Linked DNA regions of Arabidopsis thaliana. The protein of the gene in region 3 interacts with the protein of the main gene of each other region in a pairwise test. Each region holds a gene or a part of one and is shown on either strand. Other genes may lie near its edges. The genes, in order: TOR1, WRKY40 and AT1G53800.

Region 1 (11,619 bases), on a different chromosome or scaffold from region 3:
CGAAGTGACTAACGATCATCTTAAATCCCAGAAAATAGCATCTAAACAGCTCAATATCACTAAGATCAAAAGACAATGACAATGCACATACACGAGAGGCAAAACCTACAACTTCAGGATCGCTTGTCCACAACTAAACCCTATCACTAATGAGTAAGAAAATCCACAAAATGTTGATTCTCCCCAAGTAAAATTCATAGTAAACTACCACTACAAATCCAAGTCACATGCCTAGATCGATGAAATTCGAAATCTATATAACAGGAGAAAGAAGCTGGAGAAATCTGGGAAAAAAATACACAAAGTAACAGACATAAACCTATAGAAATCAACGGATTTGATCTTGCTCGTGGACACCATTTTCGTCGGAGAGGGAGTCAACTAAGAAACAACAGCTGCTTGGCTAAGTTCTAAAAGCTTCGAGGACGAAGCACCTCCCTTGTGATTTATCTTCAGCGTTCAGATTTGAAACTCCTCCCCAATCTACTAAATTACAACACTAGCCCCCTATGCTTTGACCCGTTTCCCATTTAACCCAAAATAGTTTCTATCAGAACAAATTAGTACAAACAATACACAAGTTTGAATTTACAATGATCACCATTAAAGAGCAGAGTTGTTTATAAATCATTCGATCAGAGTTGTTTTTTCTAAGCATTGGTGAAATTAAGATATGAAAGGGAAAACCAGCTAAGTCAAGAACAAAACAGTTCGAATTGCTTATAAGAACATCAAACGTTCCATAGAACATTTTTATTTATATGATACATTCATAACACTTATTCTCTTCTTAACCCTTTGATCCAAACTTTTGGATTCCCGACCATAAGCAAGGAGAACTAACAAACTACATAAAAGAAATAGCACTGTGTGAAAATGAAAGTAATCTACACTCTTTAAACTTCGAGATACTTGATTGCAGTCTGAACATCCTTGTCGCCTCTCCCACTGAAGTTTAATACCACTCTGGCTCCATCAGGTAACGTCGGACAAAGCTTCTCCAGATGGGCCAATGCGTGCGATGTCTCCAATGCCGGGATTATTCCCTCCAACCGAGACACTCTCTTGAAAGCTACACGCATAGATTAGAATACACAATGCAAGTTCTCATGAGTTGTGAAAGAAACATCTAAAAGGAGAAAAATGAAGTGTCAAGTAAGTACCTTCTAATGCTTCTTCATCAGTAACGCTAAAGTATTCAGCCCTTCCCACGTCTTTAAGGAAACTATGCTCAGGTCCGACTCCAGGGTAGTCCAATCTGATAACATCAACTTTTACTCTTTAGATACAGGTGACCAGATACATGTGGCTTAAAACCAACTTTGAACAGAGAAGAATCTCTTACCCGGCACTGATGGAGTGTGGTTCAATGATTTGGCCATCATCATCTTGCAGCAAGTAACTCATAGCTCCGTGGAGTACACCGACATCTCCTTTTGTCAATGTGGCAGCATGTTTGCCGCTGTCCAATCCAAATCCAGCGGCTTCCACACCAATCATTCGAACCTCTGTGTCATCGACAAATTCATGGAAGAGTCCCATAGCATTTGAACCACCACCGACACAAGCAACCAGAACATCAGGCTTCCCGCCCCATTTCTCCATCGCTTGTTTCCTTGTTTCTTTACCAATCACCGCGTGAAAGTCTCTGACCATCATAGGATAAGGATGAGGACCCGCAACGGATCCCAATATGTAATGTGTAGTCTCCACATTGGTCACCCAATCCCTTATAGCTTCAGAAGTTGCGTCCTTTAAAGTGGCTGTTCCAGAGTGGACTCCCCTTACCTACAAGCATCAGACTTAGATAACAATTTGAAAGCATTGCGATTTTGCAAGGTTTACGCAGAGAATTCACATCACCTCAGCACCGAGAAGACGCATTCTGAACACATTAAGAGCTTGTCTCTCCATGTCTTGAGCACCCATGTAGATAATGCACTGCAAACCGAAACGTGCACACACAGTAGCTGTGGCTACACCATGTTGACCAGCCCCTGTCTCAGCAATAATTCGTTTCTTTCCTAGACGCTTGGCGAGAAGAGCCTGAGCCACAGCGTTGTTGATCTTGTGAGCACCGGTGTGGTTCAAGTCTTCCCTTTTGAGGTATATGAGCGGCCCTTCACCGTTTTCACGGCGGTAATGCTCCGTGAGCCTCTCTGCAAAGTAAAGAGGACTTTCCCGACCAACGTAGTCTTTCAAGATCTCTGCTAATTCTCTCTACAGATTCATCAAACATTAGTTAGACATTGCCCAACAAACGAACTAACCAAAAAGACTTCTAACTTACATCACACAGAAGCATGTAATGCTGAAGAAACTAAGAATATGAAATGAATGTCGTTTCCAGATTTCTGGAAAAATACAACACTTTCCCAGAATTACATCCTACATCGCAAACAAATCGATTTGTCCCATACGGCTTAACATTGTTTGGCAGATTATTTTTTAGAATTGGAACAAAAAAATCCGTTTTTTAAACTTTATCACTAGCCATGGCAATGACAACGCTTGAATCAGAAACTCACAAAGCCAAATCATTTCGAATCGATTCAAAAACTATGAACAAGATGGAAACAAAATCAGCAGGCATACCTGGAAATCTTCGTCGGTGGCGAGCGAATAGAAAGCCGTTTCGAGTTCAGAGAGGGCGTGCATTAGAGTTTCGGGGACGTACTTGCCGCCAAACTTCCCGAAACGACCGAATGAATCAGGTCGTTGCCACATAGTCGGATCAGATCCAGCGGCCTTAATCTTCTCCGAGTCCGCCATGACAACAGCTGGGTCCTTAGCGATGGTGCAGGAGACGGAGAACGAAGAAGAGGACCGTGAGCGAGCCGATGGCAGAGGCGTAAATTTGGGGAGTTTGGAGGGTGATCTCAGATGGGTTAATTCGGAAGAAGCTGAAACGGAGGAGGGTCTGAAAGTAGCAGCGGTGCTTGCGGTGGCCATTTAGTGAATCTTTTATCTAGCTTTCAAACACGAAGACAAATGTTTTGCTGACAAAAACCTTGAAAGTGAGGGTTCTTTTTATAGATTCGTTATGTAACACTTAAGTTTTTTGACCAGAAATTCAATAAAATAGTGGAGGAAATCGGTAGTTCGGTACCACGTTAACTTATTTGTGAACAACAGAAAATGAGAGAAGAGTCAGAAGAGGTTGGTGAGAATAGGGCGGTGTACATTTTGGGGGTTGGAGTGTTTATCACATGCCTAATTTTAGTGTTATCTATTTTCTTTTGGTAAACGTCCTCTTTGGACAAAATGACGTATAGCAGTTTTTGCTAATATGATTCAAAGGCTTCTAATAGTGCTAATGAACGACGTACTACTACTCGTTTTGTTTTTGGTGGAGTTGATAAATAAAAGGATTACAAAGACATGTACTTATGGTTAAATTAATACAAATGAACTAACTATATAGTTTTAGTTTAATTTCATGATTTTTAAACGTTTTCCAAAACTTTATTAAGTTTCTTGTATTTTTTATTTTGTACTTAAAATAATAAAATGTGGTTGATCTTTTAATGACCAACATGCAAATAGTCAAAATGACACTAATCGATTACATATTCGAACCAAAAAAAATAAATATCAAATCGGTAAGGTTTGTCTCTTATCGATTTTACCGTCTTAACTTGTCATTTAGGCAGACCTTGTTGGTCCGATGAACCACCAGCCTCTGATCCATTTATGATTTACACACGTGCATTAAACACCAGACGAAGGCCTTTGAGTCGTTGAAGCTAAAAAATGAATGGTATATGCATGCGGACTCACTCGGAAGCCTCTCCAATGTGCATTGCTCGACTCTAACTCCAACAAAGTGTACGTAACGTAACAATCTTAACGACAACCTAAACAACTAATAGCAATCACAATTCCTTAAAGCATTCGTTAGTGTACCATGTAAAATTCCTTGAACCATTCATTATTGACTTATAGTACCATGTAAAAAATTCCTTAATCCATATATCAAGCCATGTTTTTGTACAAGAAACCAATTTGACATTTTGAATAATTAGATTCTTTATTTTTATTTTTTTTAACTTAAATTTTGAAATAAAAATTAACAATCCATAATGTAGAACGTGATGTCTCTAAATTTGATAATGTCCGAACTTATTTGCATGGATGTTTATATATTACACTAGAACTCGTATTATTGATTATTAATTTAAACGAAGTATCACGAATTTAAACTATATTTTCATACTTTGTCTTTCACACCCGATTTTCCGCGACAAATGCAAAATCCAGATACTGAAAATTATGCAATATTAAAATTTGAAAAAATTGAAAAAGTGAAATACTAATAAAATTGAGCGACACATTTCTGATTCCAGTCTTAACTGTTACACTTTCGAGTGTCAGATCTCGTCTTTCTTCTCCAACTCGTCTATCTTCTTCTCCGATTAATCTAATCTCTCGTCGGAGATTTAGAAATGAGCACACCTACAACTTCCGGTTCGGCGGCGAAACCGACGAGACCAGCACGGTCGTCGAGTTTAGCAACTAGGTCATGTTCCAATTCCGGTTCCCTCACTTCGTTCCAAGCAATGGTGGAGCTGAAGCAAAAGATCCTTACCTCAATCTCTAAGCTCGCCGATCGAGATACATACCAGATCGCCGTCGAGGATCTCGAGAAAACTATTCAATCTCTCACTCCCGAAACCCTACCGATGTTTCTCAATTGTCTCTACGATTCGTGCTCCGATCCGAAACCTGCAGTGAAGAAGGAGTGTCTCCATCTTCTCTCCTACGTTTGTAGTCTCCATTGCGATTCGACGGCTGCGCATCTCACTAAAATCATCGCTCAGATAGTTAAACGGTTGAAGGATTCTGATTCTGGAGTTAGGGATGCTTGTAGAGATACGATTGGTGCTTTGTCTGGGATTTATCTCAAGGGAAAAGAAGAGGGGACTAATACTGGTTCAGCGTCGTTAGCGGTGGGTTTGTTCGTTAAGCCATTGTTTGAGGCAATGGGAGAGCAGAACAAAGTGGTACAATCTGGAGCTTCAATGTGTATGGCTAGGATGGTTGAATCAGCTGCTAGTCCTCCAGTTACTTCTTTCCAAAAGCTTTGCCCTAGAATTTGCAAGCTATTGAGCAATTCCAGTTTCCTTGCTAAGGCTTCCCTTTTGCCAGTTGTTTCAAGTCTCTCTCAGGTTTGCCCAGAATCCTTATAATCTCCTCCTTGTCATGCTATAGACAGCAAATGGAAGAATATGGTGAATTTTGAATATCAGTGTCAGTAAGTAGAACACAAAGTTTTAGTAAATAACACTGCTTGAGGTTTTAGTCTTAATCCGACACTTTTTCTGTTAGGTGTTGCTGAAGTTTATTGTTTGATTTGAGCATACAAGTCTCAGTGAAATTTTGAGGGGTTTAATATCTCTCTCTCTCTTTACTTCTGGTAGTTCAATGCTAGTAGGTTTAGTGGTTAAATCTGTTTATGAAAAAGAGAAGTAAAGAGCAATTACTTTGATTCAGGTGGGAGCCATTGCACCTCAGAGCTTGGAGTCATTGCTAGAAAGCATCCATGATTGCCTTGGAAGTACAGATTGGGTAACACGAAAAGCTGCGGCTGAGACCCTGACTGCATTGGCATCACATTCAAGCGGTTTAATTAAGGAAAAAACCGATTCCACCATTACCGTGCTTGAGACCTGCCGGTTTGACAAGGTAGCTATCTTTTCTTTCTCTAATTAATCTAATTCCACTATTATCGTGTTTGAGACACGTCATTTTTTACAAGGTAGCTACATTTTTCTAGTAATCTAAAGTGGTCCTGTAGTGAAGTAAACGTAAACCCCATAAGCTCTTCAATTCCTTGTAAATGTCATCAGCAGCTCAGACATATCTGTTAGTGGTTGATAGTGCTTTTGGACCTTTCTCCTCATTTGCTATGCTGATGAAACGCACAAGCAAGTAGCTTGAAATTCTCACGAAGCCTTACCTTTTGATTTTTGACTACTATATGATTTACATATCTCAAGAATTTTCAGTCATCTATAATTTTTCTTTCACTACTGAGCATTGAAATGGCTGGATGTTTTATGAAATGGATTATGGCTCTCTACACATTCATCAAAATTCTATTACTTAGGACATGGAATGATCTTCTCAAGACACTTTACTGATGGAATTTTCTTGGACAGATCAAACCTGTTAGGGAAAGTGTGACAGAGGCGCTGCAGTTATGGAAGAAGATTTCTGGAAAATATGTCGATGGTGCTTCAGATGATTCAAAGCTTTCAGCTAGTGAGCAGCTTGGATCAGAGAAGAACGGGGAGAAAAGGTCTAATCTAGCTGATCTAATGAAAAAGGAGGCATCCGATGGTTCCACTCTCTCACCAGACTCTGCTTCTAAAGGAAAAGGATGTTTTCCTGAAAAAGCAGTAGGACTGTTGAAGAAGAAAGCACCTGTCTTAAGTGATAAAGATTTTAATCCTGAGTTTTTCCAAAGACTAGAAAGAAGGCAATCCGTGGAAGTAGTAGTTCCTCGTAGATGTAAAAACAATGATGAGGAAGAATCAGGACTCGATGATCTCAATGCCATGGGATCTTCAAATCGCCTCAAGAACACCCAAGCAGATGATAAACAGGTAAAAGGTAGGTTTGATGGGAACGGATCACAAGCAAGGACATCTGGTGATGATAAGGCTGGTGTTGTAAACGGAAAAGAGACACCTGGACATCACGCTCCTGTCTCCAATACTGATAACCAATCTGAAGGATCCTTCACAAGTAATAGAGGAAATTGGTCAGCCATCCAGAGGCAGTTGTTGCAGCTAGAGAGACAACAAACAAATCTTATGAACATGCTCCAAGAGTTTATTGGTGGCTCACATGACAGTATGGTGACCTTGGAGGGCAGAGTAAGGGGTTTAGAAAGGATTGTTGAAGACATGGCAAGAGATCTTTCGATATCATCAGGTCGTAGGGCTAATCTCACAGCTGGGTTTGGCAAATATAATAGTTTTGCTAACTATCCAACTGGAAAGTATAATGGTCGAGCTCCAGGGGAAAGAGGCTCACAAACAGATGGAGCTATGAGGGGGAGAATGTGGAATTCTGACATGGCAGATGACTGGTTCATACCTCCACATGCTGCTTCCAGAAACGGACAAGCCGGGCCAAGAAGATCACCTCGGTCAGAACAATATGAGAATGAGCACATGGGTAATGGCAGGAGAGGGTGGGATAATAAAGCATCTGGAACTATTAGATTTGGTGAAGGCCCTTCAGCAAGAAGTGTGTGGCAAGCATCAAAGGATGAAGCTACACTTGAAGCTATTAGAGTAGCCGGCGAGGATGGTGCAGTCCCTCGTCCAACCCGAGTGGCTGTTGCCCCTGAAGCTGAAGCCATGGGAGATGATGATAACGAAGGGCAGGAACGTGACCCGATATGGGTTTCATGGAGTAATGCAATGCACTCACTCCGTGTTGGTGACATTGATGCTGCTTACGCAGAAGTCCTCTGTGCTGGTGACCAGCACTTGGTCATCAAGCTGATGGACAAGACGGGACCTTCTCTTGACCAGATGTCGAATGAGATTGCCAATGAAGCTCTAAACTTCATCTCTCAGTTTCTGCTGGATCATAGTCTCTACGACATTTGCTTATCTTGGAGTCAACAGGTACATCTCTTACAGTACATTACTGGGTTCCAAGAATCACACATATGTTTTGTCTTTAACCTCTCTTTCTCTCTTTTTGCCATTCCATTTGCAGCTGTTGGAATTGGTTTTACAAGACGGTGCAGACACGTTTGGAGTTCCAATGGAACTGAAGACAGAGATCTTGTACAACTTACAAGACGCATGTTCGACTATGGATCCACCTGAAGACTGGGAAGGTCCTGCGCCGGAACAGCTCGTGGTGCAGTTGGCATCAGTTTGGGAAATCGATCTCCAACAGTTCGACAAGTAAACATGAGCTTGTGAACGGAGCTTTAACTTCAGTACCGTTGTTGTTCATAATTTTCGTACAGACAGGATTCAACATCTAGACTCTAGAGTCTAGAGTTTGATTTTTCTTATTAAAAACCCGTAAAAGATGACTGGAATTGATCAAATATTGCTATGTATTTGAGTTTTACAATATTTTGTCATTCTTCCTTTTGCTTAATTGAAAAAGCCGGAACTTTGAAGAACAAATAAATAAGACAGAAATTATTTTAAGAATATCATTAATAAATCCCTAATTTTATAACAGACTTTTAAAATAAAGTTTTTTGTTTTTGTTTTGGCCAGACAAAATTAATTAATTTATAATATGATACGAGTTTGAGACAATTATCCATTTAACTTTTTTTTTTTGGTAATCATTGATCCATGTAAATTTTAATGTTTTTATTTTTGTCAAATTGGAATTCTCGACATAGAAAACAGAAACAATTACAAATAGTTTTTGAATGTACACAATTTGCATGAGAAAAAAATCAAGAAATTACCTAAAAATAATAGTGTGTATATAAATAATCTTACTTGGTTTTGAGTTCAATCATCTAGATATGTAATTTTGTGAGATGCCAATACATTCATATATATAAATACGCATTTTCTTATCTTATACACACTACTCTAAGGCAAATAGCCAAATACCATCCACGCCAATTGATACATTCAATAGTTTTATATGTCATTGGTGTATATAGAAAAAAAAAATGTCATTTGTGTATATCAAAGCTTTATCTAAATGAAATATTTTCCTTAAAAACTGTATAATATATTAAAAGATTTTATTAATTCGACCATGATTTCAGTATTGTATAAATAAGTTAGGTTTTTTTCCCAACAATTCGATCTATTATAAAGCTTATTCATATACTTATTATGCATTAGTTTATGTATCGCCTTCCTACACTGAACAAAGGGGTGGAACAGGTGTAGGAATTCCAACAACTCCTGAAACTATATTCTCTGTTCTCCCATGGGAGCTCGGACCAGAATTCCACCAGCAACCTCTCGTTGACGAAGCATGTAGGAGCTGGACGTTTTTCTGTAAAGACCCTCCCAAAAATAATTACCCTACAATGGGTGAGACTTCATTGTACTGGAAAAAAAAAGAAATCCCATTTGATAAGGATTGATACATATGAAGTTTTTCATGCCATATATTCCCTCATTGCCAGTGTAATCTCAAAACCTCGAGGGAAACAGGGTGATTCAGAGCTTATCTATACTCCCACATGGGTGTGTATTTGTTCTGTTTGACTCTTAATGCGACCAAATCAACTTTTTGAATATATGACTTTGGCAAAAACAAATTTTTAAACTCCAACCCGTTTGTGAAATAAATAATAGAAATGATGAAATTACAGAGGTTGTGATAAACAACGGTTTAGTCTCATAGATGAGTCAGAAACTAGTGATTAGTAGTCACTAGTTGAAGAATTTTTTATCTTTCTTTTATTGTTACTCAAACTAGTGCTCCATAGTTGGCAACTGCTTTCATTGTCAAGAAAAAAAGTAGACCTCATTTAAAAGTTTTCATCAAGGTCATTCTACAAGAGTCCTACTACTAAAAAGATCCAATTATCGAGTCCCTGGCGTGTGTTTGGCGATTATGACTTTGATGAAAGGGTGTGAAGAGGTAACTCATCTCATATTTGTATAGCTATTTTTTGCTGGTGCAGAACAACACTGCACAATCAACACTCTGACATTTTAACATGATGTAGGTCATTGTGAATGATGAATGATCCATTCTCTTGGCATGCCGAGTTGAGGATGTTATATTTTCAACTCCCCGCCTATTTATCTTTGAAACCTATTGCAAAATTCACCAAAGGTTTGACATGGGGTAAGTTCCCACGTATTTGGTTGTATATGTGTCCACATAGCTCAAGGCTTGATGCCAAGATTGGAAGTGTAATCATGGAGCCTACTCAGCCCAACGTGTAAGAAGAATACATCTTAAAAAAATCTATAACATCATTCTTATCCTAGTCCTTGATGTTTGAAATTTATACAATCTAATCTCGTTTCGGCTTTATGCAGGCCTGAGCAGTTGACAAACCACAACAAAGGCTTACTTGTAACACACACAAGCGCAAGAAACTCGCTAATCAATTTTTGTTGTTGCTGTGGATTCCTTTCCTTGGTAAAACTCAGCTTTGCTTAACTCGAATCATTTTCTTGTTTTTGCTCTGAAAATTTACCTTTTACTTTTATTATGGAGGTGTTCTATCTGAAAGGTTAGATCCACACGTTGGAACATTCACCAACCAAATTAGCCTTTTGTTTAACCTTGGCAGTGCAAGCACAAATGAAACCTTTGGCATTAACCTTAACATCAGCTACAAATCCCAACTCTCCTACAACCACAACCATCACAGATGCCTTAGCAGATCGTAAGCTTTTTATATCAAATTCAATATTCTTCCGTTCTTTTATTTCTCGATCGCTGATTTTGTGCAATCTGATTCTCTACAAGTCTCAAACTTTTTCAAGATAAGTGGTAATCTGTTGGCAATGACTCTATCCTTTCAATGAATCTTTGGGGTTCTATACGTTAAGCTTTTAGTGTTGAGTACTCTCTCATTAGATAAGTTGTCGTGTTGCTTTGAGTATTGTTCATAACTTGTCAAACATCGATATATAATAGTGTTAGTTATTTATTGTTAATAAATATCAGTGAGATAAGATGTTTTTTTTTCTTTTCACAAAATGTTCTTTTTATTTAGAAACAGAGAGGTTCCAAACATTACAAAAGTGGGTACAGATAAGATGTCTTAGTGCTTGACAAATTTATTTATTGATGATGATCTTCAAGAGTTTCTGATAAAATCTACTCTCTGGGAACAGTCGATCGCATCCAAGCCATTTCGCTTCTCATTTTTGGTCCATTTGTTGACTATTTCTTGAGAGTCAGATTCATTTCTACTTACAAGATGACTTAATGGTGCTGACACGGTAAAATCCAAAAATATCATAATCCCATTTATATATGCTTTGGCGAAAACAATAACTTAAAGGGTTTTTTCTTTTCTTTCTTTTCTCTCTTTTCTGATTTACAAGTAACGATCACATGGAAAAAAATAGAAGTCACTAAGAAACTGCAACAAGGAACAAATTAAGAACACTAACACAGTTTCATTGATTCCGACCGTCCGGTTGATGTTCAGATTTGGTAGTGGAAATGAGATTGAAGAAAGAATCGCCGGAATCTGAGAGGTATTGTAGGAGACGACGAAAGCTCGACCTGAGAGGTATCTGAGAGGTATTGCAGGAGACGACGAAAGCTCTGAGATACTCAGAGAGCCGAAACTTGTCGAGGAAGAAAGAAGAAGAGAATCTGCGGTTCTATTGCTTACAAAACGAGGTCGTTTGCTTTCCACAATGACACACGAACCCTTTTCCGGGCGAATCCAAATACTTGAAATTTGGGCATTGTTGGGCCTAAAGGAAGCCCAAACTTGTTTATAAAAGCTTACGGTTCTCCGCCGTCGTCTCTTACTACAAAAAAAAAAAAATTATACCTTAAGCTTTTTACTCTGGTTCTTTCTTTGTGAACAACAACAACATCCCACCGGAAGAATTGATAAATTGAGTGAAACTTTATTCCTCTTCATCATCGACATCCTTCTCTTTCTTCAATTCGGTAAGATTT
Region 2 (9,665 bases), about 10 Mb from region 3:
TCTACTAAGGTACTCAAGTCTTCTACCACAATTTCGAAACTACAAATAGGGCACTATTTAGCAGTCAAGATAAAATCGGTAGATTTAATTATGATTTTTTTCGGAAAGTTGACTTAAGTACATACGTTCTTATCTTATTTATCATGCATTATATTTACGTGTTTTTTGAACATATTTAGAGAAGCTACCGGTGTAGAGTTATATGAAATGATCGCGACAATCAGTTATTGTTATATATGCGACCTTTTTTTGTTTGAGAATCTACAAGTGTAAAGTTATATGAAATGATCGCGACAGTATGTAATTTATATTTATGCATATGTTACAGACTTATAGTTATCACTATCACATGATGTACATTGTTACTGGACAATATATTAGTGAATTATAAAACTGGAAACATATATTTTAAACTATGTAAACTGGAAAAGACTTTTGATAAATTAAGTTATCTGATAAAAAATGAATCTACTAATCGAGAGAAGTACTAGTATTTTGTTTGGTTATTTAGTCAACGGGAAAAAGGGAGAAAAAAAAAAAAAAAAAATTAGTCAACGTGAAAATTTGACTGATGGCGTGAAACTGCGAGCGAGTATGTGAAATTCCAACTTTTTAAATGGTTGGGCTTTATATGTGAACGTTTATGGGTTTAGTTCAAGCGAGTAATAAATGAAATATATGGGCTTTACATATTGAGCAAAGAATACCCGTAACACACGCTGCTTATTTTCTGTATACCCACCATCAAATTTTGAAACGACGAGTGATACAAAATACAGTAGTTATATCATTTTGGTTAATAACAAATTCTATTTCGATATGAATGAAATGAAGCAATCATTCTTAAAAGTTTAATGCTTAATGGTGGGGTGTAATCCGATGCAAGTCCGTGTTGGGCCAATTTTTTTATTTAAGCTAATTGGGCTTAGTTGAATTGAATTGTGTTAATGTGAAATGAGCCATAATTGATTGGCTGAGCTTGACAGTGCACTAGATATGCGATAGCTTTTGAACATCGTTATTAAGTTTTAGTATTTAGACCCATCACCTGTATTATTTAGTTGGAAACCAAGAGAACTAGATAACAAAAAGAAAAAACAATTTCGTTTGTTAGTCATATGTTTTTTTCTTCTTAACTACTGAATATGAAATAGTTGATAATCTTATCACAGTTTTGCGAGACGTGTATAGAGATACAATAATTGTAAAGGATAGGAGTTTCACGTGTGAATATATGCTACTTTTTTCAAGTGTGCAAGCCTAAGGCTAAAGGGTAAAAATGAAATACATGTTCATAATTTTGATCGGGGAAGACAACTGGCCGAAAGAATATACTTACATGTTTGGATTTTTTACCATTCATATGCAATTATTTGTAGGTTTAGATCCAAGGGACCATGCTATAACAACGCAATGGGATCATACAATTTTCTTTTCTTTCATGTAAGTTCAGTCTCCAAGCACGTGGAAGTAATATATTCGTCAAAGTTTAGACTTCAATTACATCATGTGGAAGGAAAAAAAATTGATAGGAATAGTAGTATGAAACTACGTGTAATATTTTATTAGATACACGTTCGTGCGCTGAGTTATCTAATGAATTCATCAGGCGAATAATTCTTGGACAGTCCTTTTTGTTTTGGTCGGCCATCTAGCAAGACTAGTAGTAGACTACCATAAAGAAAACAAAACTATTTCAACAAAACAAAACAGACAAGTGACAAAAAAAAAACGTAAAGCCAAATCGAAACCATCGGAATAAAAATATTATTCTACAAAATAGATGTCAAAGAAAACGTGTAATTCACGGATACGCACTGTTACTCTGATGGCTAAGAGTATAATAATAGTATTTGAACACATATGAGTACATTTTGATGGCAACGTATATTAGTTGAAGAGTCTTTCATTAGATTTATGTCCCCATATGCAATTGAGTTCCACTTCTGTTTTATGTTAATACACAATGAAGTTTCTATAGATTTTGTTTTTGCAAAAGGAAATGTATATGGTATTTCAATACTCTATCACAACTATAAATAGAGCAAAATTGTGTATAACTATTATGCAGCCTTTTTCAACAACCAATGTAAAAACGAAGTACTAACTACTAAATTAGGAGTAGGAGAAAAGTAAAACAATTCGCAAGAATGGAATCTAAAATTTGGGATTAGTCTTTGATTTTCACACTTGGTCATAAAAATTAAGTGGACATGGACATTGAAAACGAAATCCAAAAGACCATTTCGAAAAAGAGGCAAGAAATTATATAATAATTAATATTTAATAGACAACACATGTTTTAGACTTTTACTAGTTCATGAATCGTACGGCCTTTTTTGTTCCTTTAACTAAGTTCAATGCATCCTCTAGTAGACACCTACTGCTTAACTAACCAACATAAAAAAATATGATTAATTCTCCCCGAATAGTATTGTTGTGTTACTTTTACACAAATTGAAAAAAAAGTAAACGACAGTTATTAGTTATTTTAAAACGAATGAAACATTATGTAAAAATATGTCAAATTAATATGCTTAGTTAATTAGAGAAAGTCAAGACTTTGCAAAAATGCATCCAAAATTAAACAAATGTATACCCGAAAGTTCGAGTGTGAATTAGTTCTGTCACTAAAATATTCCGTTTAAACTCAAGTCTTATAAAATGTACGGATATTATACCTTTTGTTTTCTCGAGCTTATTATACCTTAAAAATGTAAATTGGATGAGGATATTGAGGAAAAAAATAAGACTTGGAAAGAAATATTAGTAAGCTTTTATTAAAAAAAAAAAAAGAAGAGATAATTCAAGACCTGAAGAAGACAGGCACGAAGTAGCTAGGGGAGGGAATGGGGAAGTAAAACCAAACCACTCGTGCGTTGTGTGTTAGGATTTTCCCGAGTCAACGAGGTCAACGGTCAAAGAGGTCAAAGTCTTTAAAATACAGGAAAGGAATTGTGCTTTCGTTACTTGCTTTCTTACGTTCTTTCTGTCCTTTGGAGGAGAATAGTTTTGTTTTTGCTTTTGTTGATTTTTCTGTCCACTTTGTATATATTTTTTTTTTTTTATGACTTCATCACCTGTGACGTCTAATAATTCCATCACCGACTGCCCATTTCTTTTCTTTTTATTGTCTCTACAATTTCGATTATATTTTTTGGTCGGCAGCCAGTCTCTTCGTTCTTCTTTTTTTTCTCTGGACGTCCATTCCCAACATGCATAGTGTTTGACACAACAATATATGACAGCTAACTTTTAAGTATAATTCGAAATGAACTAAATCGTTGATTATACATAAGTTTAGGTTATGAGTTTTTGTCTTTTGCAATCTATTAATTAACAATTGGTTTGTGACCAAATTGTTCGTTGAGTGTTGTAAGAACCAACCTATTTCAATCAGTTTCTTAAAAAAGGAAAGGGAAGGCAAAAAAAAAAAGAACTATTAGCAGCCTTACTTTTCTATGATAATATTAGTCAGTAGGGAAATATATATATATATATATATATATATATATATATATATATATATATATAATTTGGACCGACGACTGATTACAATAACTGTTAAAGCTTAAACCGGCGGAACTTAATCTTATATAATTAATATGATTGTAATTAGCTGTATGATAATTTTATGTTGTTAATGATGATGTATTACCTTTTCGCTATAGGGTTTATAGATTACATCTATACTTCTGCATACAATTAGATATTAATAAAGTTATAAAAACAAATTAAACTGAATAATTGTGTGTGTGTTACGTTGCATGTGTTATTAGTTATGGAGAAATATGATTTACGTCTTCTGAAATGCTATCAACGATTGGTTTCAGATTTAAAGAAACTATCTGACCAAAATCCTGAGATATCTTAATTAGATATATCTATTTAAACTTTCAAGTTGTTATATGTTAAACAGTAAATGGCGTTTTCCGTATTACTCATCTAGTAGATCGTAGTAAGTTATATACGTTTTTACAATGAAAGGTTTCGGCAATGTAAGTTGTATACGTGGTACGAGTGAGTATCCATACTTCTACCGGAAAGAATAGAGATCAAGAAAAATGAATATAATTAATAAAGCTCTACCGAGGAAAAGAAGAGTGAAGGATAATGGAGAAAAATAAGAAAAAAGATGATGAGATCTGAATTAAGATTTTATTATTCACAATTACAAGAATAGGTACAGTCCTGGTTTGTGCTAAACCAAATTCGAATATCAAATATAAATTACTTATAGGTTCGACTGTAAAATGAGATATGAAAGAAAGAAATAATATATGATGATGTAATGCATGAGAAAGTCCAAAATGATCGGCATATGGGATTAAGCGATTCCATATAGTTAAGTCAAGTTACTATTTCAGATAAATGGATAAGTTTGTCGTCTATATGTTCTGTTATCTCCAAACCCAAATCTATAACATTGCGACATTTTTGAATCGTTAACGGCAAAATAAGTGGGGAGGGGGGGGGGAAGGAAAAAAGGAAGGACACTGAGATTTTGATAAAGTTCGGTAGCCAAATTTGTGCATGACTTTTAAGAAAATACGTATGCTGATCCAAAAACAAACAACTAAATAGATTTTAGTTTGAGAAAATCGAAGTAACAAAATTATTATTTAATATATAGTGTGAGAATTTAACAGCTACTAATAATTATCATAACACGAATTAAGTGTAATAGTAATATATGTAGGAAAATGGTTTAGCACCACTCACTTGATTAACTCGACTTAAACCAAATATAAAGTAATATTTATAGATGTAGTTGGTTGTATTTTTGCAAGCTTTGGTACTCGATATCTAAATTTTTAATGGAAAAATTAGTCGAGTGGTAATTCGTTATATATAAGAAAATATTTTGTTTGTAATTGTGCAAACTTTAGCATTGGACATCTAACTATATTCTGAAAAATCAGCGGAATGATAAAAGTTCGGATTTTCCTTCTTTTTATTTAAGTAAACATAATTGGTGTTCTGAAAACCAAAAGAAGGAAGAAGGCAATTAAGATTTGTTAAAGTTCGTCACGATATTGATGTCAAGAAAAAAGGAAAAAAAAAAAAAATCGTCACGATGGTATCGTCAATTTGTCTAGTGGATTTTGAAAAGCCGTGTGGGCTTGACTTTGACCGAACAAGGCACACGTATACATCTAGTACTACTGAAGAAATCTCTCATTAGAACGCAAACCACGTTCCGCACACTCTTAATATACTATTAGTCTATTACTATCACCAACTAGTTGTCATTTTTTTTGTCAAACGTGCTAATTAATTCACAAATAGAAGTATTAAACTTCCTAATTAAGCACGCCTTTACTACATTTCATTATTATTATACATGTAATCAACCATTTCTTTTATCCCACATGTCATTTGTAGTCCTGATTTTATGACTTTATGCATCAAGTTATCTTTTTTTTTGTCACTCCATGCATCAAGTTATCTAAACAACATAATTATTGTCTGAAAAATCTAAGATGATATACAACATATGTATTTAATTACACATTAGGCTTGTTTAACAATTCTTGATTATTTTTACTCTTTTTGGGTGAGTTCTTGATGGATGTCTTGAATTACAAAACTACATATTCTGAAAATATTAACCTTGAGTTTAGGCCGGCTATGCTATAACGAAAAATAAATAAAAGCAACTAACCCGACAGAAATGTCAACCAACTATCCAAAATGAAAAACAAACGTGGAGAGCGTCATATTATTAGTAGGCCAATCACACACCAAATGTTTGTTTAACAAAAAAAATAAGAATGTCAACCAACTATCCAAAATTAAAATCAAGAATACATTTCATATGTTTCCAATATGTTTTTCTTAAACAAAATTGGGACTAAAGATTGGACCAAATACGTGTGCGGGTGGACCCGATAGAAGCCGAGTTGAGTCTAAAGACTAAAAAGTAAACAAAAAATGATAAGACCATCACTTAGTTTATTGCATGAAAATGAAAAGCACATGCTCCTCTCTCTCTCTTCTGCCTCTTTCCATCTAGTTTCCTCTTAAAACTCCATTATATATAGAAACAAAATCTTTTCTCTCTTCAACAATCCCACCATTAAAAAAGAAGAACCCAAGATCGACTCTTACTTCGAATCTCTCTCAACTTTCTTCCTCAGCTTACGGGAACTTCCACACATATACATCCACAAGAACCCATATCGAAGATTCATCCTACATATATTTACATGGATCAGTACTCATCCTCTTTGGTCGATACTTCATTAGATCTCACTATTGGCGTTACTCGTATGCGAGTTGAAGAAGATCCACCGGTACGCTTCTCTCAGATTCTTCATTCTCCACATGTTCAGAAATTTTCAATTATCATGGAGCTTTTTAATCTAGTATCTCATCATTATGTATTATACACTTACATTTTTCAATTCGGTTGGTTTTGAAAATATATAAACTAACTCAACTATCCATAGACATTTTTTTCAGATGTATAATCTATAAACATAGATATTTTCTTATACTTCACAAATATTTTTATATATAATTGGCATAAACTTTAACAACAAGAAAAATTCGTTAGTAATTCATGTGGTGGGTTCTTGAAATATAGATGTAACGCTAGATCATAAAATCATATTAAACTTATAGTATGAAGAAAATAATATGGTTACTAACTTCATGCAATATATATATATATATATATATATATATAAATGATAAATTGCAGACAAGTGCTTTGGTGGAAGAATTAAACCGAGTTAGTGCTGAGAACAAGAAGCTCTCGGAGATGCTAACTTTGATGTGTGACAACTACAACGTCTTGAGGAAGCAACTTATGGAATATGTTAACAAGAGCAACATAACCGAGAGGGATCAAATCAGCCCTCCCAAGAAACGCAAATCCCCGGCGAGAGAGGACGCATTCAGCTGCGCGGTTATTGGCGGAGTGTCGGAGAGTAGCTCAACGGATCAAGATGAGTATTTGTGTAAGAAGCAGAGAGAAGAGACTGTCGTGAAGGAGAAAGTCTCAAGGGTCTATTACAAGACCGAAGCTTCTGACACTACCCTCGTAAGCATTCATGAAAATGATCAAACTTGGTATCTATCTATCTTTAGAAACTTTATTTTATATGGTTTACTGATTGTAGAAGTTGTTTCTTATAGGTTGTGAAAGATGGGTATCAATGGAGGAAATATGGACAGAAAGTGACTAGAGACAATCCATCTCCAAGAGCTTACTTCAAATGTGCTTGTGCTCCAAGCTGTTCTGTCAAAAAGAAGGTAATTGATAAAGAAAAAAAACTGACTCTCGCTTAAAATATGAATTGGCATAATACAAATTTGATAGACTTATTAATCTGATTTTGATCCTGTGTTTGTTTCTATTCAGGTTCAGAGAAGTGTGGAGGATCAGTCCGTGTTAGTTGCAACTTATGAGGGTGAACACAACCATCCAATGCCATCGCAGATCGATTCAAACAATGGCTTAAACCGCCACATCTCTCATGGTGGTTCAGCTTCAACACCCGTTGCAGCAAACAGAAGAAGTAGCTTGACTGTGCCGGTGACTACCGTAGATATGATTGAATCGAAGAAAGTGACGAGCCCAACGTCAAGAATCGATTTTCCCCAAGTTCAGAAACTTTTGGTGGAGCAAATGGCTTCTTCCTTAACCAAAGATCCTAACTTTACAGCAGCTTTAGCAGCAGCTGTTACCGGAAAATTGTATCAACAGAATCATACCGAGAAATAGTTTAGCTTCAAATTCCGTTAGAGTTTTTAGATTTGAATTTGTCATGAGTAAGAGAAAGAGAGTAGATTATAATCCATTGTGATACTGAAAATGTAACATGTAATCGTTTTTCATACAATCTCCAATACATTCGGCTTTAGAAACTCCTCCTAGTTTGACAACAACAACAAAAATATCTGTACAAATGCAAACACAGCACAACAGCATCCTAAGCAGCACAGAGTTAAAACTATTCTCTCTTGGTTTTTCTTTAATTACCAGTCTCGTCCTTTGTCATGCAGTCATGGTGTCTGAAGCAGCAAGTGAGATGGTCGTTTGTGAGACCAGCTGTTTGCATGAACGAGTAAATAACCGTTGGACTTACACTGCGAAAACCTCTGCGTACAAGATCTTTGCTTATCAACTCGGCTTTCGAAGTCTTCACAGGGACTTGACGTGGGTACCGGAATTGGCTCTGAGTAGGTTTCTGGTTAACGAAGTTCCAAATGTACTTGTCAAATGATCCAAATGCACCTATTATCTGCATTTGAGAAAACCAATAACAGTAAGAAAAAAAAAGGTAATGTTGTTAAGAAACACAGAAACTATGATCAGGCTTATAGGTGATATATTACCTTGCAAACTTGGTTAGCATTCTCGAGGATTGACCGTAGCTTTTGCTCTGATAGTAACGTGGTGGCAGCAATCTCAGGGGATGTTATCTTTTTATTTGTTAATTCAGATATTGCAATTGGATCAAAGTCCATGAAAACCTCCCTGTTTAACACAAGGCAAAAGCATTTCGAGATTCGAGCTCATAAGGAGAAGTCAGAAGATGTAACCACAACAGCGTTGGTACTAGTTACCTGAATAGTTGTCTTTTGGAAAGAATGTCTTTCCAAGATAGTTCAGCAAGAGCACCAGACAAGCTTAATAACTCGAAAAGTCTCCTGCAAACAATTCACTGAATAAGAGAGTGTATAGTCCAAAAAAGCATCCCTCTGGTCAGTAAAACATAAGTCAGTATAAAGAGAAAATATCACGTACTTGTCATCATGGACAGGAACTCCCCATTCTTCATCATGGAAGGCAATGTAACATTGATCTTTTACAAGAAACAAAAAAAAAGAAAGAAAAAAAGTACCGGTTAGTCATAGCAGATGAAAAGATTCAAGCCTTTGGAAGTTAAGGCCTTAGCCTCATCGGCGTAGAGAAATGACAAAAACTAATCTCTACAAATTCCTGTTTCTGTGGTCATTGTTCAATAGAGATATGATCTGCCTGATCACAAAACATAGTCAAGATTTGCTCTCTACATTCACAAACTAACTTCCAAAGCAAGAGAATACAAATCTTTTAAACTATTCAACTTCTTTATGGACATTGACAATTCACCGGTAAAGCCAAGCATCACTAGTCTATGCTACTACATCAGAGTAACTGATAAGTGGGAACAATTGTATTCCAACAAAAAATGAAATGGATGAATCAAGAGAGATTGTATTACCAGATTTAGGGGTGATCCAAGCGCATCTTTTACGACCGTCACAGAAGCAATCACTAGCCTTCTCATCTCTCTCCTCCGTCAGATTTCTTCTCAGTGAAGAGGAAGAAGAAACTGACCCACTTCGCCGCAAAACCCTCTTTCCACTCGAAGTAGACGTCATACTTAACGGCGACGACTCGCAAGAAGACGACGCATCTGAAGAATACGAAGCAGTCATCGAAATACCATTACGTCTCAGAATTGGAGGGCTTAGAGGCGAGCATTGCGGCATTTTCTCCGTAAAGGTTAGGTTTTTGGTTTTCTCAGCCACAGGCTTCTTCACCGGCTTTGACAACGGTTTCTGCTGCAGCTTATTGCCGGCGGGACCAAGAACTGATCTGAATTCTCGGTCGGATGAATCCACAGACCGAACTCGCGGTGGAGCCGACATTGACCTAAAAGTCTCCG
Region 3 (10,404 bases):
GCACATTCATGTTTGGTGAATATGGGACAAGAGTCCATGTTTCAGTCTCTTTGCAATTTCCCATTTCCTCTTGCATAGCATTGTTCCAACCAGGATGTTTTAGAGCTTCAGTCACTGTCTTAGGCTCAGGAATTGAAACTTTATGGGTGAGCAAAACATATCTCTTATTTGGTTTAGAGATTCCTTCTTTGCCTCTTGTAACCATAGCATGTTCATTTGTAACTGGAGCTTGGACTTGTTGTGCAGGAGCCATTTGAATCGGTGAGCCTTGAGGAGAACTTGCTGGGGAAGACCTCGCAGGTGAAGGATGAGAACTGTCTGCAGTTGGTGAATGGTAGCTGTCGCCAATAGAAGCAGAATCTAAGCCTGTCGTACGCTCAGGACTGCCACTCACCACTGAGATAGTTTCATTATCTTGACTAGTATCATCGGAAGCATTAGGACCTGCAGTTTCTGCTGCAACACTTGCTGGAGCTGCACTCAAGTCTGTAGTTTCAGGCTGAGGAATAGAAGAGACAGGGTACCTTGATTGATCAGGCTGAGTTGGAGTCACATGATGAAAACTTTTAAACCAAGCTTCAAGAAGAGGAGTTTTGTCTTGAGGATGGAGATGGCTGTAAATGGACTCAAATGGGTGAGTATTCTCATCAAAGACAACATGTCTGCTAATGTAAATTCGACCCGTTGGAGGATACAAGCAACGATAGCCCTTGTACTTCTCATTGTATCCAAGAAAAACACACTTTAAAGATCTTGGATCAAACTTAGTAGAGGCATAATCTCTGAGAGTTGGATAACAGGCACACCCAAAGACACGTAAAGCTGAATATTCAGGAGCTTTACCATATAACTTTTGATATGGAGACTCATTGTTGTCAAGAGATGAAGTAGGCAAGAGGTTTATCACAAAGTTTGCAGTGAAGAAAGACTCTAGCCAATACTTCAGAGGCAGTTTGCTTTGAAAAATCATTGACAGACCCAATTCAACAATGTGTCTGTGTTTTCTTTCAGCCATACCATTTTGTTGAGGAGTGTAGGGACATGACATGTTTTGTTGAATCCCATGATCTTGAAGATGCTTCAGAAACTGAGAGCTTATAAACTCACCACCACCATCACACTGAAAGATCTTGATTTTGTGTCCCAATTGATTTTCGACCAACTTTTGGAACATGACAAATGTTGAGAAGAAGTCAGACTTTAATTTCAAGGGATAAAACCAAGTGAATCTAGAGTAATGATCAATAAACACTACATAGTATCTGAATCCTTGAACAGAACTTGTTGGAGAGGGACCCCACAAATCACAATGGATCCTCTCAAGAGGTCTAGAAGCATTAAAAGTAGATAGCATAAAAGGAAGCCTAGTGCTCTTGCCTAGATGACAGGCTTCACACACAGTCTTCACAACTTTATTAATGATGATGATGGACTTTGAGCTAGCAAGTTGATGGAGTACTTCAGCATTTGCATGGCCAAGGCGTCTATGCCACACTTCACTACTTGCAGAGTTTTGACGCGTGGAGTAGAGGACTTGGAGTTTAGGTTCCTCCAACGAGTAGAGACCATCACGATTTCTTCCCATTACCAGCAGCTTCTTGGTTGCCTTATCATTTATACGAACACTATCAGCATCAAACTCAACAGAGCAAGGGTAGTCACTTGTGAGTTTAGAAACAGATAGCAAAGATTTAACAATATCTGGGCAAACAAGCACTTCTTTTAAAGGAATCTTACCTGAAGAAGAAGCAATACTACCTGAACCAGTGTGAGTAATGGGCAAGAAGTTACCATCTGCAACCATGATAGAGTCAGAACCGTGGTAAGGCTGAGACTGTTGCAGGACATGACGGTTGTTGGTAACGTGAGCAGAAGCAGCTGAGTCTGGAATCCATTCATGTCCATGGTGGTCTGTGACATCCGTGATGCGCATTGTAGCAAGAGCCATAGGTAAGTCTTCATGTTGATAGCTGTTATCGAACCTATGCCAACACTTCAACGCATGGTGACCAGCTTTTCCACAGATTTGACACACTAACCCTGAGTTTCCAGCTTGAGACCCAGAAGTAGGGGAGATTTGTTGATGAAAACCACGACCTCTGGTGGAGAAAGAACTCTTGCCACTCCCAGAGTTTGACCGTCCTTTACCTCTGTTGTTGTTATGGTAATAACCAGAATCTGAGTGAGTAACATTGAAAGCCACATGAGGAGAGATAGTAGGCTCAGTCACATAACTTTGAAGACGGTCGTCATAGCCCCTGAGCTTAGAAGCAACCTCATCAAGAGACAGACTTGGATTGGAGTCAACAGAGTTTTCAATGGTTGTTTTAATCGGCTCATACTCTCTTCCAAGACCATTCAAAGCAGAAAAGATTTTCATTTTCTCTGGAACAGGACTACCAACAGAGGCTAACTGATCACAAATGTGTTTCAGATCTTTAAGAAAAACTTCCATTGTGTTATCTTTCTTTTCTAGAGTTTGTAATCTTCGTTGCAGCTCAAACAATCTAGATGAAGAGACTCTGTTAAAATGATTGGCAAGAGTCAGCCATACCTGATGAGAGGTGAAGCAGTTCACCACCACACTGAGAATGTCTTCAGCAAAAGAACCAAGGAGCCAAGATTTAACAACCTGATCCGTTTGATGCCAAGTATAGAACTCCGGATTCGGCTCTTCAGAAGTGACATTGTTGTGTGTGACAGAACGAGTCTGCGCCGGAGCAGAGATCGAGCCGGTAACAAACCCGAGCAACCCTTGTCCTGACAGGAAACTCTCAAACTGACTCTTCCAAAGGATGTAGTTCTGTTGATTGAGTGTGACTGTGACACAGTTGGAAATATTGAGAGGTGGGACAGTATACGGCGCCATGGATCTTATTTCCATGAGCTCTGATACCATGAAGGCAAAATCAAAACATAGAAACGAAAGTTGAAGCTTTGATTTGCATTACGGCTTAAATGTTTTACAATGCTTAAGCTTACTATTTATACAAAGGGACAAACATAAAGAAACCCTAAGATTGAACGGATAGATGAACATCAGCTTGAATCAAGGGCTGAGAATCGATTGCTGAGTTTTATGGGAGAAGCAGAGTTCGTACAGCTCGAAGACGTCATGGTGCCAGCTCTGGTTTTGTCTGTATTTGGAGAAGAAGACCGTTGCTGCGACATGGGCTTCGGCTTTGACATTTCGTGGCCCAAAGGAGATTTCTTGGTGGGCTCACGGCCCAATGGCAGTTTCTTCAGAGATCCAAAACCAGAAGTGATGTCGTTTCTGTTGTTAGTGCTGATAAATACTGCGATATGCATCGATGGTGTTTTGTATTATCCAGCAATGATCTATAAGGGGGAAGGTACCATCGTTTGCTTTGATGTTAGGTCTGAGAAATTTAGTTTTACCAACATTGATCAAGATGACATAGCAGTAAAGATAGATTCTTGCACTTTAACGTTGATCGACTACAAGGGTAAATTAGGTGCTTGTAGTTTTAATATTAACACTAATCTTTTGGAGTTGTGGGTTTTGGAGGATGCCAAGAAAAATAAATGGGGTCAAAGTATATCTACGCAATATCTTATCCGTGGCTCGTGAAACCCAGTCATGTACGTCCTGCCGGAATGACTGGTAGTTGCGAACTTGTGTTATACCCAATCTTTATAGGAGGTCGTCATCCTTTCTTCATTTTGTACTACAATCTCGAGAGCAAAATCATCACCATTGTAAAACTTGAAGATCAACTTTTTAGAAATTTTCGTGGGTGTAGGATTCAGGCTTTTACAAACTATGTAGAGGATGTGAAGCTTATCTAAGTGTTTACTTCTTCCAAACAGAACTCACATGATCTTTGTCGATCTTTGTCTTCTTCTTTTTTTTGGTCTGGTATCTTTTGATGAGGTTTATTGGTAGTTCTCTTTGCTTTATTTCTTTGGTTAATTCTTTAATAATCGGAAAGCTATGAAGAATTGTTTACTAAGCTGAAACTCTGACATACAATTGAGTTATAGATACAATTGGCACATCACAAACTGGAAACTGCTTCTCTCAAGCATAAGAGATAAGACCAATATATAAGCCAAAATTTTGAATTACTAATTGAAAAATATGACTTTTCTCTGCTAAATTGCTACGACATTAGGCTGCTTCTGTGACTTCGACGAGCCTTCCACGAACCCACTTCTTCGTTACGTTTCCTGATTCCAAAGATGCAGCCTTTTCGTCAATCCCGTGGTAACCATTTGGAAGAGGATGATTCTCAGCAAGACTGATAGCTCCATTAGACTCTGCTGGTGGATGGACTCTCGTTCCGTTTGGTTGCCCAACTATCCCGAGTTTGATATCTTCTCTACCTCCTTGGGATGTGTTGGATTCCATATCAGAAACAAACTGGTTTGTAGTACCTTCTATAACGAAAGTCGGTAAATCGTTAGATCTCATGTTCATGTGAAGACTCTCTCCGTTGATCTGCAATGTGTGTGTTCCATTAATCTCTCCTGGTCGTTCTTGATCGTTTGTATCTTTGGTTTCAGATTCACTGTCATTAGGCTGAGGTGAAAGAAGAAATGGGTAAGTCCCATCTTCATCTGAAGCTATCTGCCTCATCTCTAAAGATTTAATCAGTTGTGTTGCTTCTGCTATGAGCTTTTTACTCTCTAACAACGATGCTTGAGCAACCGGGCTTTTCAAAGCAGCAATCTCGAGGACTTTCGCAGCTTTCTCAGCTTCCGAGATCAAAAGCCTGAGGCGAGAAAAGGTTAATTCTTGTTAACTTCTGCTCACAGTTGCAAACAGAGAAATATTAACAATTCTGTTTTAAGTGTACTGACCTTGCTCGTTCCACAGCATCCATCTTCTTTGATTCTTCCGCCACTCGTTTTGCTCTGATGCTTTTGATCATTTCCAGTTTTGAACTTGCCAAAGGATCTTTATACGCAGGTGTTTTGCGCTTCCTTACTTTCACCACTTGAACTTGGCTTTGACGTTCAAACTCTGAATCCCTTGTACTTTTCTTTGTAGGAGTCTTCTTTCTAGGTTCTGCATCGCTCCTTGGTCTTCTACGACGCCTCTCGACACCAACAGGTATACCGTGATATTTTGCCAAGCCGGAGCAAACTCTTTCACGGTAAGACTGATAAGAGAAAGCAAACTGAGTTAAATATGACCAAGAACAAAACATCAAACAAGTTTGATTTGATCAAGTGACTAGACAACTTACTGGATCAGCCCATTTAGCAGCTATTGCTTCTGCAATTCTCCTTCTTTGTTCAGGAGATTTTGGCGCTCTTCTGTTACTTTTAGCTCCTTTAATGGCTTTCCTCTGCTCAACACTTTCCAGCCATTCCAGTTGATTCTGTTGATCCAAGATGTTGTAAGAATCCCACTGAAGCTCTTCTTCGTCTGTATATCCTTGTTTAGCAGCCTCCGCTAACAAGTTTTGCCACTCGAAATGACATGTCTCCTGCACTTTTCTCCTCTCCTTCCTCCTTGCCCATCGCATCCGCACTCCCTCTCCAATCTTCATCCGTGTCTCCTTGCTGTAAAAATCATGCAAATTTGGGAAGATAGTATTATGATAACAAAAACCAAAAGCTCCAACAGGTTTAAAAGCAAACGAAAAACCGGTACTGACTTTTGTGCGTGCCCAAGATTCGCTAATTTCATCTTGATCTGCACAAGGACAAAGACACAAAGGTTCTATGAGGGGTTGAAAATTCTGATGCATAGAGCAAACATATAGAACCATTCTTACATGACATCACCTTTGGGTCTTGCATTGCAATCTTTGTCCTTTCTCTAATCTTCTGTAGGGTCTCTGCATAAACGCAAAAGAAAAAAGATTATGAAATGTTTCCAATTAGAAGCAACTGAAGATAGATTGCTGAAGATACGAATAAGCAAAAACTACTCACCTGGACTATGCTTCCTGCCTTTGTTCCAAGGAGTGTTCCCTCTATTTGCCTTAGAAATCCTCATCCTTCTCAACTTTTCTCTGTCATCCACTTGTTCTTCGCCATCATCAGCACTTCCATTTGAGGATTTCGAAGAAGCAGAAGACAAAGAAGAGCTCCGTTCGTTTTCTTTTTGAGCCGGATACTTGGTTTCAAGAGTGGCCACTGCAGTAATAAGAACTTTTCCTCTTCGGACATGACTATGACCCGTGTAAAATTTCAAATTCTTGGAGAAACAAGACTGTCTCCATGGATTAGGTAGACTTTTAGCATGGATAATACTCTGAGCCCCCAATGGAACAAGATGAGCTTGAAATGAAGGTTGGATAGTAGCAATATCTGCAAAGATTAAACCAAAGAGTCATCTCCATTAGCTAGTAAACATTCTCTAGATACTGTGCGAATCACTAGTCTTTTCTTATACGCATTTAGACCAAGATTGCAAATGCAAATAATTGATACTCAAGAATGATGAAATCCAATAGAAAAGAAACAAAATTGAGAAGAAAGAGAGTCTCAATACTGAAGTAGAATTCTAAACAGTAACCAAACACAAACCCAGAAAATTAAGAGGTAAATATCTGGAAACTTTACCAGAAAAGGTACCTAAAGAAGGCATTGGGAGCTCATTCAGACCAGGAAAACGAAAAAGGAAGAAACTTTGAAACACTCTTCTCTGCAACACCAACCAGGATGTCTTGTAAGATTATACGGAACAATACATTAAGGAAATATGTTCCTCTTACTGTCTGAGAGAGGCGAGAGTTTTTGCAGGAATTTGACAGACAAGGATAAGCCACACAAAAAGCAAATTTCAACGAAGATACTTGTGTCTGGCTTTGACGCAGCAACCAGGGAGGCGATGGATAACGAGACCCGGCTCGCTCTAATGACCCGACCCGGATCACTGCATATTGGGCTAATGGGCCGCGTTTCATAGCCCAATTCACACGTGGTATTATTTTCTCTGGCCTCTCCAACAAGGCACCTAACGTGGCCCTTACTTACTAGACCTTAATAACTCGGACAAAGTTGGTACTCTTGTTGGTGTAATTCGATTTCTTCTTCTCACATCTCAAATCTCCGATCAAAATCCGAAAAAAAAAAAAAAAATGGTGAGAGATATTGTAGACGATCCGCTTGACGAAGATGATATCGCTCTCGTCAAGACTTATGTAAGTGTACCCTTTTAGAACCCTAAATTTTGCTGTATTTTGTTTCTTTGCGAACCAGTTTGATGTTTTCTCATGAGTAATTTCGAGCTAATTGCTATTTTATGATCCTATTTAGATCATTTTTGTGCTTATATGACTAACTAGCTTTGGGTGACTCTGCCTCACTGTTTGAATAAGTCATCCAAGTGAAAAAAAAACGTTCATAGTTATACTTGGTTTGATATGTTGCGTCTCCATATGTTTTTTTGCTGACCTTGTTAAAATCTCAATCCTTCGCAGGGGTTAGTGCCTTACTCTGCACCTATCAAGAAAGTGGAGAAAGAAATTAAGGAACTCACCGAGAAGATCAACGATCTATGTGGTTTGTGCACACTGAGATAGTGGTGTTACTTTCATTAGTGACTTCTATTTACCGAATGATTAAATTGCATATACGGGTAACTTGCAGGTATCAAGGAGTCTGATACTGGTTTAGCTCCTCTCAGTAAGCAAATGATGCAAGAGGGGCAACCTCTCCAGGTGGGTTATGTTTCCTGTTTTAGATATATCCCGATCGATCTCCTCATGGATATCTTTTCGAGAGTTCCTGCAAAGTCTATAGCTAGGTTTCGTTGCGTATCCAAACTCTGGGAATCCATACTTTGTCGTCCTGATTTCAAGGAGTTGTTCATGACTATGTCTTCGATTCGTCCACCGTTGCTTCTTTTCACCTTCCAAGATGATGATGGCAATTTGTTCTTCTTCTCTTCACCTCACCCTCAGATTCCATGTAACGAGAATACGTCTCTTGTACCCACCCGTTATCATGTTCAACATACCACAGATTCTTTTTCTGAAATTGGTTCTCCTCTTTGTGGATTCATCTGTCGCCGAGGTAAGAGAAATCTAGATACTATGGTAATTTGTAACCCAGTCACGGGAGAGTCCGTATCCTTACCCAAAGTGGAACTGAAGAGTATTAATACTGAGACAAGACCTTATTTAGGATATGATCCGGTCCGCAAACAGCTAAAGGTATTGTGCATCAAGTCTGATGATATCCCAAATACGTGTGATGAGCATCAAGTTTTGACATTGGAGAATGGAAACCATTTATGGAGAACAATCCAATGCAAACCCCATTATCCTAAATCTGATGGAATATGCATAGATGGTATTTTGTATTATACAGCTGGGTTCGATATGCGGGCAAGGGTTTCTATGGTAGTGTGCTTTGATGTGAGGTCTGAAAAGTTTAGCTTTATCAACATACATGTATTCATGTTGATGAATGACTCTTGTACTCTAATCAACTACAAGGGTAAACTAGGTGCACTTCAGTTTACATGTTTGTCTCCAAAACGTCTTAGGTTCTGGGTTCTAGTAAATGCTGAGAAAAATATATGGACCAAATGTATCTATGCATTGCCTCCTTTGTGGAACAACTTAGTTCAGCATACGGAGTTAGCCATTGTTGGAATGACTGATGGAGGTGAAGTTGTGTTGTCACAGTACTGTCTAATATACGCATTTTACATTTATTACTTCAACCTTGAGAGCAAGAGTCTCACAAGAGTTCAAATACAAGATGTTGAAATGTTCAAACGTACGAGAGTTTACACCTCTCTAGGCTATGTTGAGAATTTTAAACTTATGTAAGTGTTCAACTATTGTTTTAATACTTGGTCTAGTTTATTCTTTCAGTTGATAAGTGTCTATCTTACATTCTTTTGTTCCAAGGACTGACTATGACAGAGGATTCAACACATTTTCTCCTCAAGGGAGGCTATTTTAAGTCGAGTCTGCCACTGAAGCTAGCAAGGTAACTTTCTTATTAGTTACAAAGGATCAACTTAAGTACTTAACATTTACGACTTGTAAATTATTTATGCAGCTTTTCATGGCTAGCAGTTTCACAGACAATTCCACAACTGAATAGATGGGCAGATTTTATCCTTTCACAGAAGCGACCACAACAAACAGTTCTACCTCCACCACGCTAAAGATCTTCGATAGGCTTTGTCTCCACTCTGAAAATATTCCTAGGCAAATCCAAGGATTGTAATTGGAAATTGTTCATCATTTTAACTTGGTTAATTGGATAATTTTATTCCTTTGTTGGTCATACTAGTCTGCTTTTCATTTTCAATTCTCTTGTATTTTAAATTGTTTAGGAATACTTGTCTTCGTTTCGACTTTGGCCACGCCAACAAGAAACATCTTATGTAATAACAGTCATTAAGCTACTTTATGTAAAAACAACCTTATACTTTATGTAAGACAAAACATATGGGCCCAAAAAGGCCCAATAATAATCATTTACATTGGTTCGTAAGTCAGTTTGATTTTTGTTTCCTCACCTCCCCGATCGTCGGAGGATGTAGAAGGTGGCGGCGGCGGCTCTCACCTGCTTCATCGCAGTTTAGAAATGACTAGAGGAGATCGACGTAGCTCCCCGAGTTTCTTCTCCGGCTCGAAGCGGAGTTGGCTAGGGTTTCACGGTGGCTCACGGTCGCCACTTCTATTGATTCCGAGCTGATAGATGATGGTGGCTCGAGGTCAATCGTGCGTATGGGTTTGCGGCTCCGATCATCCCTGTGACGGAAATCGAGCGGCGGATCCCGCAGCTGAGGGGTGATGACGGCTATCGTCGGAGGTATTTCGTGCTCGCTTTCTCTTTTCGGGAGTTTCAGCGACGGCGGTTCATGTGATGGGGTTAGGTCCTGCGGTAAGATACGGTTCCTCCGGCTTGCGGGATTGGTGGCTCCGGTCTCGGGTTGTTGGCGGTGGCTGTGCTCGCAACCGTCGAATAAGGGATAGCCTCGTTGAGAGAATATCGGTTTTATTTCCGGTTTAAATCTCATCAACAAACCATCTCTAAACCGGGTTGTACTTATGAATTGAAAACATCACGTAGTTTTATTATCTCTTCTATCTGAAAACAGCACGCATGTTATAGCATTTTGAATGATTTTTTATAAGGGATTATTTAGAGGCCTAAGGCGCGTAAAGAAGAGCTAAAAGCGTAACAGAAGAATCTCTCTCAGTCGCAACAGTTTCCGGTTACTCCAAGATCGCCGTCGTGCACCTTTCTTCTCTCGCTCTCTGGTTCTGAGGTTAGCTCGTAAATCTCATCGACCATCACTTCTTCTACTACTCGTTCCAATTACCATAGTACGAAGACATTGCTCGAGAATCTCTCAGTCGCAACAGAGTCCGACTACTCCAAGATCGCCGCCGTGAACCTTTCTTCTCTCGCTATCTGTTTCTGAGGTTAGTTCCTATATCTCATTGATCATCTCTT

What was found.
Region 1: the proteins of AT1G53800 (region 3) and TOR1 interact in a two-hybrid assay, tested with the Arabidopsis thaliana proteins (one large-scale study listed by BioGRID).
Region 2: the proteins of AT1G53800 (region 3) and WRKY40 interact in a two-hybrid assay, tested with the Arabidopsis thaliana proteins (one large-scale study listed by BioGRID).

What each region holds. Positions count from the first base shown.
Region 1 is NC_003075.7:13,577,897-13,589,515, reverse strand, and holds TOR1 (ARM repeat superfamily protein), read left to right. Parts: upstream 1-4,265; 5' UTR 4,266-4,445; coding exon 4,446-5,168; intron 5,169-5,493; coding exon 5,494-5,685; intron 5,686-6,161; coding exon 6,162-7,643; intron 7,644-7,737; coding exon 7,738-7,935; 3' UTR 7,936-8,230; downstream 8,231-11,619. Other genes in the region: PDIL5-4 (PDI-like 5-4), read right to left, coding at 1-122, 320-360; TSB2 (tryptophan synthase beta-subunit 2), read right to left, coding at 897-1,072, 1,164-1,258, 1,346-1,788, 1,864-2,220, 2,596-2,952. UniProt on the Arabidopsis thaliana protein: Plant-specific microtubule-associated protein (MAP) that regulates the orientation of cortical microtubules and the direction of organ growth. Determines microtubule organization by modulating microtubule severing.
Region 2 is NC_003070.9:30,377,625-30,387,289, forward strand, and holds WRKY40 (WRKY DNA-binding protein 40), read left to right. Parts: upstream 1-5,936; 5' UTR 5,937-6,209; coding exon 6,210-6,296; intron 6,297-6,706; coding exon 6,707-7,048; intron 7,049-7,143; coding exon 7,144-7,260; intron 7,261-7,369; coding exon 7,370-7,732; 3' UTR 7,733-7,875; downstream 7,876-9,665. Other genes in the region: AT1G80850 (DNA glycosylase superfamily protein), read right to left, coding at 7,983-8,252, 8,347-8,488, 8,578-8,661, 8,759-8,816, 9,219-9,648. UniProt on the Arabidopsis thaliana protein: Transcription factor. Interacts specifically with the W box (5'-(T)TGAC[CT]-3'), a frequently occurring elicitor-responsive cis-acting element.
Region 3 is NC_003070.9:20,078,049-20,088,452, reverse strand, and holds AT1G53800 (muscle M-line assembly protein), read right to left. Parts: upstream 6,810-10,404; 5' UTR 6,566-6,809; coding exon 6,541-6,565; intron 6,286-6,540; coding exon 5,908-6,285; intron 5,811-5,907; coding exon 5,758-5,810; exon of another isoform or gene 5,748-5,757; intron 5,666-5,747; coding exon 5,628-5,665; intron 5,533-5,627; coding exon 5,214-5,532; exon of another isoform or gene 5,198-5,213; intron 5,127-5,197; coding exon 4,825-5,126; intron 4,752-4,824; exon of another isoform or gene 4,737-4,751; coding exon 4,133-4,736; 3' UTR 3,902-4,132; downstream 1-3,901. Other genes in the region: AT1G53790 (F-box and associated interaction domains-containing protein), read left to right, coding at 7,059-7,121, 7,401-7,482, 7,570-8,755, 8,841-8,895.